3 linked regions of the Macaca fascicularis genome follow. The protein of the gene in region 3 purifies or fractionates together with the protein of the main gene of each other region. This does not show direct contact. Links are inferred from orthologs where the notes say so. Each region holds a gene or a part of one and is shown on either strand. Other genes may lie near its edges.

The links.
Region 1: the proteins of RBL2 (region 3) and CCNA2 purify together in Homo sapiens (affinity purification with mass spectrometry; 3 studies listed by BioGRID and IntAct, counting the BioPlex papers as one, with this or other methods). This does not show direct contact. The link is inferred for Macaca fascicularis from reciprocal best matches to the Homo sapiens genes RBL2 and CCNA2.
Region 2: the proteins of RBL2 (region 3) and LIN37 purify together in Homo sapiens (affinity purification with western blotting; 5 studies listed by BioGRID and IntAct, with this or other methods). This does not show direct contact. The link is inferred for Macaca fascicularis from reciprocal best matches to the Homo sapiens genes RBL2 and LIN37.

What each region holds. Positions count from the first base shown.
Region 1 is NC_088379.1:126,897,711-126,901,965, reverse strand, and holds the start of CCNA2 (cyclin-A2), read left to right. Parts: upstream 1-1,440; 5' UTR 1,441-1,678; coding exon 1,679-1,891; intron 1,892-2,665; coding exon 2,666-2,909; intron 2,910-4,218; coding exon 4,219-4,255. UniProt on the Homo sapiens protein: Cyclin which controls both the G1/S and the G2/M transition phases of the cell cycle. Functions through the formation of specific serine/threonine protein kinase holoenzyme complexes with the cyclin-dependent protein kinases CDK1 or CDK2.
Region 2 is NC_088393.1:42,984,430-42,988,243, forward strand, and holds the end of LIN37 (protein lin-37 homolog), read left to right. Parts: intron 1-845; coding exon 846-966; intron 967-1,148; coding exon 1,149-1,199; intron 1,200-1,515; coding exon 1,516-1,545; intron 1,546-1,625; coding exon 1,626-1,711; intron 1,712-1,798; coding exon 1,799-1,965; intron 1,966-2,721; coding exon 2,722-2,862; intron 2,863-2,950; coding exon 2,951-3,024; intron 3,025-3,097; coding exon 3,098-3,179; 3' UTR 3,180-3,222; downstream 3,223-3,814.
Region 3 is NC_088394.1:49,426,630-49,430,277, forward strand, and holds part of RBL2 (retinoblastoma-like protein 2), read left to right. Parts: intron 1-1,577; coding exon 1,578-1,708; intron 1,709-3,648. UniProt on the Homo sapiens protein: Key regulator of entry into cell division. Directly involved in heterochromatin formation by maintaining overall chromatin structure and, in particular, that of constitutive heterochromatin by stabilizing histone methylation.

The sequences.
Region 1 (4,255 bases), on a different chromosome or scaffold from region 3:
AGTACTGGTACTTGCTTTGTGTCCTGGTTACTATGTATGTTGCCAGCTAGTGGAAGTAACCTACCAATTATTTTTTCTAGGAGATAGGATTGATTTGCAACTGATTTTCCTTTTGCTTGGTGATGTTTTATGACTCTGCTGCAGTTTGTGGAAATGCTGGACTTGGCTCAGTGCTATAAATTGTAGTCAGGGAAATAAGAGCTTACACAGAGTCGGGGGATCTTAACTAGACATGCTGTAACCAGTGGAGCTATTCAAGCATGCTACAAGTGAAGAGTGCAGAAATAGTGATGCCATCTTAGATTTTCCTATACCAGTATGATCTCTTTTTATCATATATGACATTAAGGCTACAGAAGTTTTGTACATTAATCTTAATTCATATTTATTAATTTCAAAGAAATATTGAAACGTCTTAAAATGGCATAAAGATAATGGAAAATAAGCTTTGTTTCAAGAAGGGCAGACTCACTAATTTTTTAGAAAACAATGCTTCTTAATGATATGCTATTATACTTACTAGGTACGTGCAAGCTTTGTATATAAATATTAAAATTTGTTACAGGCACATATATAGTTAAGAGAATTTTATTTTAATAAGATCATATTGTTTTTACTATATTTAAAGAAACTTTACTTCTGAAAGGAACATAATTTATCTAGGTCACTAGAATGTCATTGTATTTTTTGTTGGCTGCCACAGCTTGGGGAAAAATAGATAAAAATTAATGACTCTATTTGAATATTTTGTAATGCATTGTATATTTATTATATATATATCAACAGTAGTTCAAGGTGGCACTTAATTGCATCTTCATTAGGAAAAATAAAAAGCATAAAACACAATTTCTGGTTACTATGAATAAATGCCTAAATGTTAAGATATTACTACAGTCTGACACTTGAGTACTGTATTACTTACTATGTGAGCTCCGTGTTAATTTATGCACATTATTTAATCCTAATAACCGTTTGACTGTAGTTATTAGTCCCTATTAACAAATAAGAAAACGGAGAATCGGAGATACTGAAAAACGTGGTCCAGATTTTAGACCTTGGGAAAAAGTCACTTGAGCTAACTAGAGGTCCCAGAGCTAAAGGCTGGGCAGCCCAAATGATAGTCGCCAAAGTTTAATTCCGCTTAATTCCCTAAAAGGCTTAGAGTCAGCCTTTGGACCGCCTCGCTCTCTAGGTGGCTCAAAGTAATCGGAAGCTCGGGCCCTGAGTACCCCTAGCTCTCCCCGACCCGCGCAGGCGTTTTCTCCCGCCCCAGCCCCAGTTCGTTTCTCCCTCCTGCCCCGCCCCTGCTCAGAGTCCTTTGGTGCTTCCTTCATTCGCTTGCGACCCTGTCGCCTCGAATGACGTCAAGGCCGCGAGCGCTTTCATTGGTCCATTTCAATAGTCGCGGGATACTTGAACTGCAAGAACAGCCGCCGCTCCGGCGGGCTGCTCGCTACATCTCGGGGTGTCTTTGGCCCGCCACGCCCGGCCGTGCCTTCCTGCGCCTTTCGCAACCTCCTCGACCCTGCGTGGTCTCGAGCTGGGTGAGCGGGCGGGCGGGTAGGCTGGCCTGGGCTGCGACCGGCGGCTACGACTGTTCTTTGGCCGGGTGGGCTGGGCAGAGTGCACGCTGCTTGGCGCCGCAGGCTGATCCCGCCGTCCACTCCCGGGAGCAGTGATGTTGGGCAACTCCGCGCCGGGGCCTGCGACCCGCGAGGCGGGCTCAGCGCTACTAGCATTGCAGCAGACTGCGCTCCAAGAGGACCAGGAGAATATCAACCCGGAAAAGGCAGCGCCCGTCCAGCAACCGCGGACCCGGGCCGCGCTGGCGGTACTGAAGGCCGGGAACCCGCGGGGTCTAGCGCAGCAGCAGAGGCCGAAGACGCGACGGGTAAAGGGATGCGGGATGTCTGCAGGAGGGTGGGTCGAGCAGGGTTTGGCACTGGCTTAGCAGGCAGAGAAGAGTGGCGAGAAGGCATGTCCTGGGCTTTTGGAAGGGGGCCAGAGTCTGGAGTCCACTTGGTGCTGGTGTGTGGGATGCCACAATAGGAATTCTCCCATTATTAGCATCAGGACCCCGCCAACACTGTGTATGCTGCCTGTCTGCTCTCTATAGGTGGCATCTGCCTGTACATAATGGGGTCAAACCAAGCTCTAAAACGTGTAGTCTTCGCTCAGCTCCGCGCCTTTCTCTCCACTTTTAAACCCCAGGCACTACTGTAGGACTCTGACCCCCCTCCTCCTCATGGTTAAGAGATAACCTCTACTTTAGAAAAGGGTGTACGAAATAACTTTGCTTTTGGCAAATTCCGCCATTTTAGCCGGATTTGCTCTGTTGCTCCACCCTCGGGCGACAGTGGTGAACCAACACTTTTTTGCCATGTCTTTCCTAAACTTGTCATGTATTGACTTGCCACCCGACCCTTCTTGTGGCCCTGATTAGTTTTGCATAATTCCACCTAGTGTTATCTATTGATAGCCTTTGTGGGAATGCCTGTGACAAATGGGAACATCCCTTCTCTTTTGAATACTCAAACTATTGTTTGTCCCAGAAAGTTTAATTCCTGATAGAGTATTTGGGAGAAAAAGCAAAGGCCAACACCCATAAGAGAAAGAATGCAAAACTATTTAGTAGGCTCAAAGCCAGTTATTTATTTTTGTTTAGGTTGCACCCCTTAAGGATCTTCCTGTAAATGATGAGCATGTCACCGTTCCTCCTTGGAAAGCAAACAGTAAACAGCCTGCGTTCACCATTCATGTGGATGAAGCAGAAAAAGAGACTCAGAAGAAGCCAGCTGAATCTCAAAAAACGGAGCGTGAAGATGCCCTGGCTTTTAATTCAGCCATTAGTTTACCTGGACCCAGAAAACCATTGGTCCCTCTTGATTATCCAATGGATGGTAGTTTTGGTAAGTTTTAAGGAAAATCTATATGAATTTACGGTAATTATAATTATTAGATATTAATGATTTGCATTTTAAGATGTCTTATGTAGTCATTTTGATTACAGTGAGTTAGGTTTAATGTAACAAGGCTTAGAAAGGATGTGACTTATCTCAGATCTCACAGCTAACACTCGACCTGGTGATGTACAAAAGGATCCTAACCTAGTGCTCTTTCAGGTTCACTGCCAGTCACATCAGTCTAATTATAATTAGATCTTAAATGCTTATTTTAATCTGATCCCATAAATGTGTTCTTGGTTGGGAGAATAGATTTCAGTTTTATTTAACTCACTTATATATCACTTAGAGAGTGCTATTTGAAGATGCAGTCTTAAATATTGTGATTACATAACATCTCTTCCAGTTTTATAATTTTGTTTCTATAAAACCAGTCTGGATTATCATCTGATACCAGAAGGTGACACTTTTCCTCCTACAAGTAAACAGTTGTACCATGGCTGTTTACTCTTACCCATGTATTAAAGTAGCTGCTGCAAACAGCTCTTTGCAGTTTGTACTGTTTCTTTGCCCTAGGGATATCGAGTCACTGGACAGCTCACTAAATCCAGTCTCATTTTAGTTTTAGTTGTATAGATCGTGGGGAAGGAGGGGTGAGCAGGAAAAGTCCTTTGGAAATAATAATTTGTGTGTTTTTATCAAAATTTTGCAGAAAATGTTTAATCTCAAGGTGATCTTTGAAGCGAAAAGAATAATGGATGATACTCTTTGCTTCAAAAGATAATTTATACTACAAAAAATAAATTTATAGTGTTAATCCATTTGCCCATAACAAACCTAATTTCTTAATAACACTTGTTAATGGAGGCCATTTAACTGATTCTAGCTATCGCCTAATTGGGCTTTGTATATGTCAGACTCTGGGATCTGCAGTCTCTCTTAGGGCAAATCTTAGATATTATCTCAAAACTTGGATTTTAAATGTTCTGTCCTAACAGAACCACCATGCCATCTGCTCCTTTCTGTTGTGGAAGATGGATACTTTAAGATAATACCTGATTCTCGTTTTCCTGTTAGGGGCCTACTAATATGGTTTTCTTTCCCCCTTCATTAACTAAAATCATTCCAAAGCTATATGTACAGAGATACTGAGACTAAGGTAAAATATTCTACCTTTTTCGTCATGAGAAGCTCTTTTTAGTTTGATGAAATAAGTGCTTTGTTAATATGAAATTCCTTACAAGGGCAGTCATTTTTAGCTATTAAACTAAGTAGACAAACAATTAATTTAATCATATCTTTTTAATTGTCCCAGAGTCACCACATACTATGGACATGTCAATTGTATTAGA
Region 2 (3,814 bases), on a different chromosome or scaffold from region 3:
CCACTGCCTCAACCAGATTCTGCACTCAGGTTGAGCCTCTGTCTCATAACTTCAGCTTTGGAACCAGACAGCCTGGGTTCAAATAATCAGCTCTGCAATTTCTTTGCTGTGTGCCTTTGAGCATGTGGCCTAACATCTCTGTGCCTCAGTTTCATTCTTTTTAAAATACGAATAAAAATAATATCTATCTGAGCCAGGCTCTATGGCACGTGCTTATAGCCCCAGCTATTTGGGAGGCTGAGACAGCAGGATCACTTGAGCCCAGGAGTTCAAAACCAGTCTGGACAACATCATGAGATCCTTTCTCAAGGAAAAAAAAATCACATCTACCCCTAAGAGTTATTGTGATAATTCAGTGAGTTATCATGTATAATACATAGGTATTTAAACCTTGCCACTGGGACAGGCACAGTGGCCCACACCGGTAATCCCAGCACTTTGGGAAGCCTAGATGGCTCACTGGAATCCAGGAGTTCAAGACCAGCCTGGTCAATATCGTGAGACTCCACCTCTATATAATTTTTTCTAATATCATATTAGAAAATTTATATCATAAATTTATATCATATTTATATATTATATCATATTAAAATTTATAATGATATAATTTATATCATATTAAAACACATTTTTTTAAAACCCAAAAGGCTCATAAGGTAAGGTGATTGGCTTTGCCTCCTGTCACAGTGCGATTGGGCGGGACAGCTCTGGAACTCAGAGCTCTTGGCATCACTCCAGCCATCTCTGCCTGCTGCACCCTTTCAGGCTGCCTGGGCCTGGCTCTGAGATTGGCCAGGGCAGATGGCACGCATGCCCCTCCCTGACCCAGTCTGCTGTCCACTTAGCTGGGGCCTGGGAGCTGACTCCTGCTGGGTTCCCTCTTGCCCCAGAGCTGGAGATGGCCAAAGCCCGGAACCAACTGGATGCCGTCTTGCAGTGTCTGCTGGAGAAGAGTCACATGGACAGGTAGGCCAGCGTGGGGTCACAGGGCCAGGCACCCTGGCAGGTTGGGGCCTCTGATCTTGGGTGGATTGGGTGGGACCCCAGAGGCTGACTTGGGGAGGAAGGTGCTTAATGGAGAGGCTGCTCGGTGCCTCCCTTCTCTGGGGCCCTGGAACCCTGAGCTGAGAGATCGCTTCTGCCTCTAGGGAGCGTCTGGATGAGGAAGCTGGGAAAACGCCCTCAGACACCCATAATAAGTGAGTTTTTCTGATTGGATTTGGAGCTGAGGGTTTGTGGTTGGTAACTTCTTCCCTTATCCAAGCCCTGACCGCTCAGCCCAGCACTACCTCCATCAAAGTCCTGACCACTCCACCTGTACAAAGACCCTGCAGCAGGAGCTTAGGTCCCCTCGCATTTGCCTCCTAGACCCCCACGGGTATGGGTGGGACAAAAGGCCCAAGAGGCAAGTGGGGTTCATGTGAGCATCTCAGGTTTGATACCAGTATCCCCAGGGTGCCCTCTGCAGGGTTTTGCACAGGCATTTGTCTGAGGGTCAACTGTCTTTCCCCACAGGGACTGCTCCATCGCAGCCACTGGCAAAAGGTAAGGTGGCAGGGTCCCAGCCAGCTGACTAGAGGCTCTCAGCTCCTACCCCAGTCCTGACACTCCCTCTCCCTACGCAGGCCATCTGCCCGCTTCCCCCACCAGCGGAGGAAGAAGAGGAGGGAGATGGATGACGGGCTGGCTGAGGGAGGGCCACAGCGATCCAGTGAGTAGACGGTGGCCCTAGAGGGTCGGCAAGGAGCTGAGGGCCTATGCGAGGATGCTCACACACCTCCCATCCCCACCCTCCCAGACACATATGTGATCAAGCTGTTCGACCGCAGCGTGGACTTGGCCCAGTTCAGCGAGAACACGCCACTGTACCCGATCTGCCGTGCCTGGATGCGAAACAGCCCCTCTGTGCGCGAGCGCGAATGCTCTCCCAGCTCACCCCTGCCCCCGCTGCCTGAGGATGAGGAGGTGGGATGGGTAGTGGACCCCAGCCCAGCAGCCTGGTGCCAGGGCAGTGGGTGGATAGGCTTAAAGGATCCTGCCCCTAAGCTAGAGGGGTAGACAGACACAGGTCCCTCACATGAATCCTGGATCAGGCCAGGCACACAGATGTGCACCCTTAGGCTGGGGTGTGGATCGAGGTCCCTAGGGAAGACATACATAGCCACCTGGCCTGGGGGACAGGGAACAGGGTTACCCTGGACAGTTAGATGTGGATCTCCAAGATCAGGGGTTCCCAAGAGCCGAGGGGCTAGACAAGGGTCCTTAGTACAGACAGAAGTGGCCACCAGGCCTTGAGGAGCAGATGGGCTGGGCAGGAACGGATGGGGGTCTATAAGCCATCTGGCCCAGGAGGGTAGACAAGGGTCCCCAGGACAGACATATAGGACCCTTCACGCTGTCAAAAATGGACAGAGCTTCCTAGGTGGCACAGATGTGACCCCGTGGACAGGATTCCCTGAGGCAGGCAGACGTGACTCCCTGGGCTGACAGGTGTAGATGGAGTTTCTGGGCTGGATAGGAGAAGACAGGGGTCCCTGGGGCAGGCGGACTTGACCCCCTGGCTGGTTGAGGTGTCTGCCCTTCAGACATGCCTCCTGTCTGAGTCCCTTAGTGAGCCCCTCATGCCATTTGTTGCTGGGAAAGGCAGGAGGGATGAATGTGGATTCCCAGCCCCTCTGCTTTGACTCTCTTGGGCCTGGCTTGGGGCCCTTGTGTCCCCAGGGCTCAGAGGTCAACAACAGCAAGAGTCGTGATGTGTACAAGCTGCCGCCACCCACACCCCCCGGGCCACCTGGAGATGCCTGCAGATCCCGCATCCCATCCCCACTGCAGCCTGAGATGCAGGGCACCCCTGATGATGAGGTGAGTATGCCAGGCTGGCCCAGGGTTATGGGACACATGTGGTGGGGCTCAGGAATGTCTACTCAACCTGGCCTCTCTGTCCATGCAGCCCTCTGAGCCCGAGCCCTCACCCTCCACACTCATCTATCGCAACATGCAGCGCTGGAAACGCATCCGCCAGAGGTGAGCGTCCCCCAACCTGCTTGCCCCTCCTAGGGCCTTTTGCAACTGCTGAGTCTTCCCTCTGCCTCCCCAGGTGGAAGGAGGCCTCTCATCGGAACCAGCTTCGTTACTCAGAAAGCATGAAGATCCTACGAGAGATGTACGAACGACAGTGATGTTCCCAGGTCCCCCCACCCCAGTAAACATCCCCCAACTCCACACTGGTGTCTGCTCCGGTCCATCCTTCCTGGCCCAGACACAAAGCAGTTGGCAGAGCTCTAGCACATTTATTGGGAGAGTGAGCCTGGGAAAGAGTAAGGGAGTGGTGGCAGGGAGAAAGGCTGTAGGGAATCAGAGCCGGTGCTCAGCTGGGTCTTGAAGGAGAAGAGGAGGAGGGTGAGAGGTGGGTTGCCGAGGATTATCTGGTTGAAGAAGACTTGGGGGTCAAGACAAAGGGACTTAGGGGGACGGGGTCTGGTTAGAGTTAGGGAGGGGGCCTAGGACATTCGTGCAGAGTCTGGGGAGGTTTGGGTGGGAGAGTCTGTACAGTTTGGGGTTGGGTGTTCTGGTTGGCCTGGGATAGGTGTCCAAGAATTAGGGTGGTCAGAAGAGGGTTCCAGAGTCTGGTGTGGCTGGCTGGGGTTTCACAGCAGAAAATGGGCTGGAGCGGGGCAGTTGTGGACTGTCTGGTCGTAGGGGAAGGATCAGGTCTTGGGAACCAGGCCTGGATGGTCTGGAGTGGGAAGTCTGTGCAGTCCAGGACATTTGGGAGGTGGGGGGATTGTGCCTGACAGGCCTGGGGTTGGGGGAG
Region 3 (3,648 bases):
TTTCTCATTTTCATTTAGACCAGTAATGAATACAGTGAAGCCAAAGGACAGCTTCCATCCTTCCTCGCTTTTATAGGAAGAGGAAAGTTGTATCACTTCTTGAATAAAAAACGATTGTGAAGATGATCTTTTAGAAACAATGCCTTAAAAATTATTATTTTTGAATGTATCTGGTAGGGGATCCACAATAGTCTCATTTGGTTATAAAAATAAATTTTATGTATTCATGTATGTGTTTTGATTAGGTATAAAATTAGTGGCTGAATATCCATTCAAGCTTAATTTTGTATTTCTATCACTTTTCTAGATTTTGTGCAAGATTAAAAATATAAACAATAGGCCGGGCGTGGGGGCTCACGCCTGTAATCCCAGCACTTTGGGAGGCCGAGGTGGGCGGGTCATGAGGTCAGGAGATCGAGACCATCCTGGCTAACACATTGAAACCCAGTCTCTACTAAAAATACAAAAAATTAGCCGGGCATGGTGGTGGGTGCCTGTAGTCCCAGATACTTGGGAGGCTGAGGCAGGAGAATGGTGTGAACCTGGGAGGCGTAGCTTGTAGTGAGCCGAGATGGTGCCGTTGCACTCCAGCCTGGGTGACAGAGCAAGACTCCATCTCAAAAAAAATAAAAAAAACAACAACAATAATATTGTTTCCATTACTATGGCTATGTAACAAATTGCCTTAAGGCTTTGGGGCAGAAAACAATTTGTTTGGCTCACAGCTTCTGTAAGGAATTCAGGCTGGGGACAGTGTGGATGTCAAGTTTCTGCATCAAAATGACTGGTATCTCACCTGGAAGACTTGAACAACTAGGTACTGGCAGAGCTGGAGCTCATTGGGCATCTCTGTATGTTTGTTCCATGTGGTCTCACCAGCATGGTGATCCAGGGTAGCTAAATTCTTTCATGTTGGTTCAGTACTCCCAAGGTACATGTCCTAAGAGAGAGAACCAAGTGGAATCTATATTGCCTTGTATAATCTTTAGTATTACATAGTTTCACTTCCACCTCTGCTGTTGATAGAGACAGTTAATCAATGTGAGAGATGCAGACCCTTGCCCAGGTCCAAGGTGAGGGAACCCTCTCTACCTCTCAGTGGAATAATGTCAATGTCACATTATAAGAAGAGCATATGGAACTGGGTACAGTGACTCAAACCTGTAATCCCAGCACTTTGGAAGGCCAAGGCAGATGGATCACTTGAGGCCAGGAGTTCAAGACCAGCTTGGGCAACATGGCAAAACCCTGTCTCTACAAAAAATACAAAAATTAGCCAGGTGTGGTGGCGCACGCCTGTAGTCCCAGCTACTTGGGAGGCTGAGGTAGGAGGATTGCTTGAACCTGGGAGGTGGAGGTTGCAGTGAGCCAAGATCGTGCCACTGTGCTCAAGCCTGGGTGACAGAGTGAGACTCCATCTCAAAAAAAAAAAAAGAGCATATGATATAGGGTCATCATTGAAAATAAGTTTCCCACAAAAATATAAACAACACTTTCAATTTAAATGTACTTTAAAAAATATTGAAATATATATATGTAGCTTATTAACTAAAAATCAATTTTCTCTTCTTTTACAGGGAAATGATCTTCATTGGTTAGCATGTGCCTTGTATGTGGCTTGCAGAAAATCTGTTCCAACTGTAAGCAAAGGGACAGTGGAAGGAAACTATGTATCTTTAACTAGAATCCTGAAATGTTCAGAGCAGAGGTAACTATGTTAGAGTTTGAGAAGTAGAGTATGGCTAATGTAAGCTCATAAATCATAGCGATAGTAAGAATTATGTCTGTTCATCATTTTCTGAGCATTTGTACCTGTGGACTGGTGAAATTAGATGCTAAAACTAGCATCTAATGATTTTCCTTTATTTGTATCAAAGTTAGTATCCCTTATATTTTACTTCTTTGGTGAAAATATTTAAATTTTAATGTATTAGGCACTTGTATGGAAGAATTTATTCTTAAAGGTTAGGACATTGTGTAACATTGGGAGAAATGAAGGATATTGAGAAACTTTAGGAGATACTCTAAGTTGAAAAGGCAAATAAAATATTATTTGCTATTATACTTAGAAATATGTGCACAGGACTTGTGGTCTTAATATAAATAGAATGAGTATTTCTCAGTTTCCTGTTTGGAGGATAAATGACATGATTATAATCCATTTTAGAAAGGGTCAAATATGTTTAAAAGAAGAGGCAGAAATTGCTTTATCTGTTGTGTAATTAAATTGATTACATTTATTTTTTGTGCCTTTTAGGTGAATTTTCTTACATAGCTTATTAAAGATAAGTGGAAAAATGATGTTTAGCATTTTGGGGGAAATTGCGACTCAAAATTTATGGATTTAATGGTTTTAAAAAAATCACTTACTAAATAAAAAAATTAACTGGGTGTGGTTGTGCATACCTGCAGGCCTAGCTACTTGGGAGGCTGAAATGGGAGGATCACTTGAGCCCTGAATGTTGGAGCAGTACTGCACTCCAGCTTGGGCAACAGCAAGACCTTGTCTCCAAAACAAAAAACAAAAAAGGTTACTATTTAAATAATTAACAGGCTGGGCGCGGTGGCTCACGCCTGTAATCCCAGCATTTTTGGAGGTCGAGGTGTGTGGATCACTTGAGGTCAGGAATTGGAGACCAGCCTGGTCAACATGGTGAAAGCCCGTCTCAACTAAAAAAAACGAAAATTAACTGAGTGTGGTGGCGTGCGCCTGTAATCTTAGCTACTCAGGAAGCTGAGGCAGGAAAATCACTTGTGCCCGGTAGGCAGAGGTTGCAGTGAGCCTAGATCATTGCACTATTGTACTCCAGCCTGGGTGACAAGAGTGAGACTCCATCTCAAATAAAATAAAATAATTCACAATGTCATGTTTTAGCTGACGTTGTCAATTTTAGTAATCTTTTTTTAACCTTTAACTCCATCCTGAGTTACATTGGCCAAAGAATCAGTATCCAGAATTATATAAGGAACTACTAACAGGGTTAATAAAATGAATAAAGAATATGACTTCACAAAGGTTATAATTTGTATAGCTAATAGATACAAGAAAAGATACTCAATGTCACTAATAAAGACTTTCAAAGTAGAAATATAACATTTCTTTTTTTTTTTTTTGAGGTGGAGTCTTGCTCTTTCACGCAGGCTGGAGTGCAGGGGCGTGATCTCAGCTCACTGCAATCTCCACCTCCCAGGTTCAAGCAATTCTCCTGCCTTGGCCTCCCAAGTAGCTGGGATTACAGGCACACGCCACCACACCTGGCTAATTTTTTGTATTTTTGGTAGAGACGGGGTTTCACCGTGTTGGCCAGGATGGTCTCCAACTCCCGACCTCAGGTGGTCCACCCGCCTTGGACTCCCAGAGTGCTGGGATTACAGGTGTGAGCCACCATGCCTGGCCAACATTTTATTCTTATTATTGGGAAAATTTGAAGTCTTTTATGCCAACTTTGGTCACTGTACAGGGAAACAGGAACTCTCTTTTTTTTTATTTTTCAATTCCCTTTTTTTTTTTTTTTTGAGATGGAGTCTCACTGTGCTGCCCAGGCTGGAGTGCAGTAGCTTGATCTCTACTTACTGCAACCTCTACTTCCCAGGTTCAAGTGATTCTTATGCTTCAGCGTCCCAGAGTAGCAGGGATAAAGGCACACG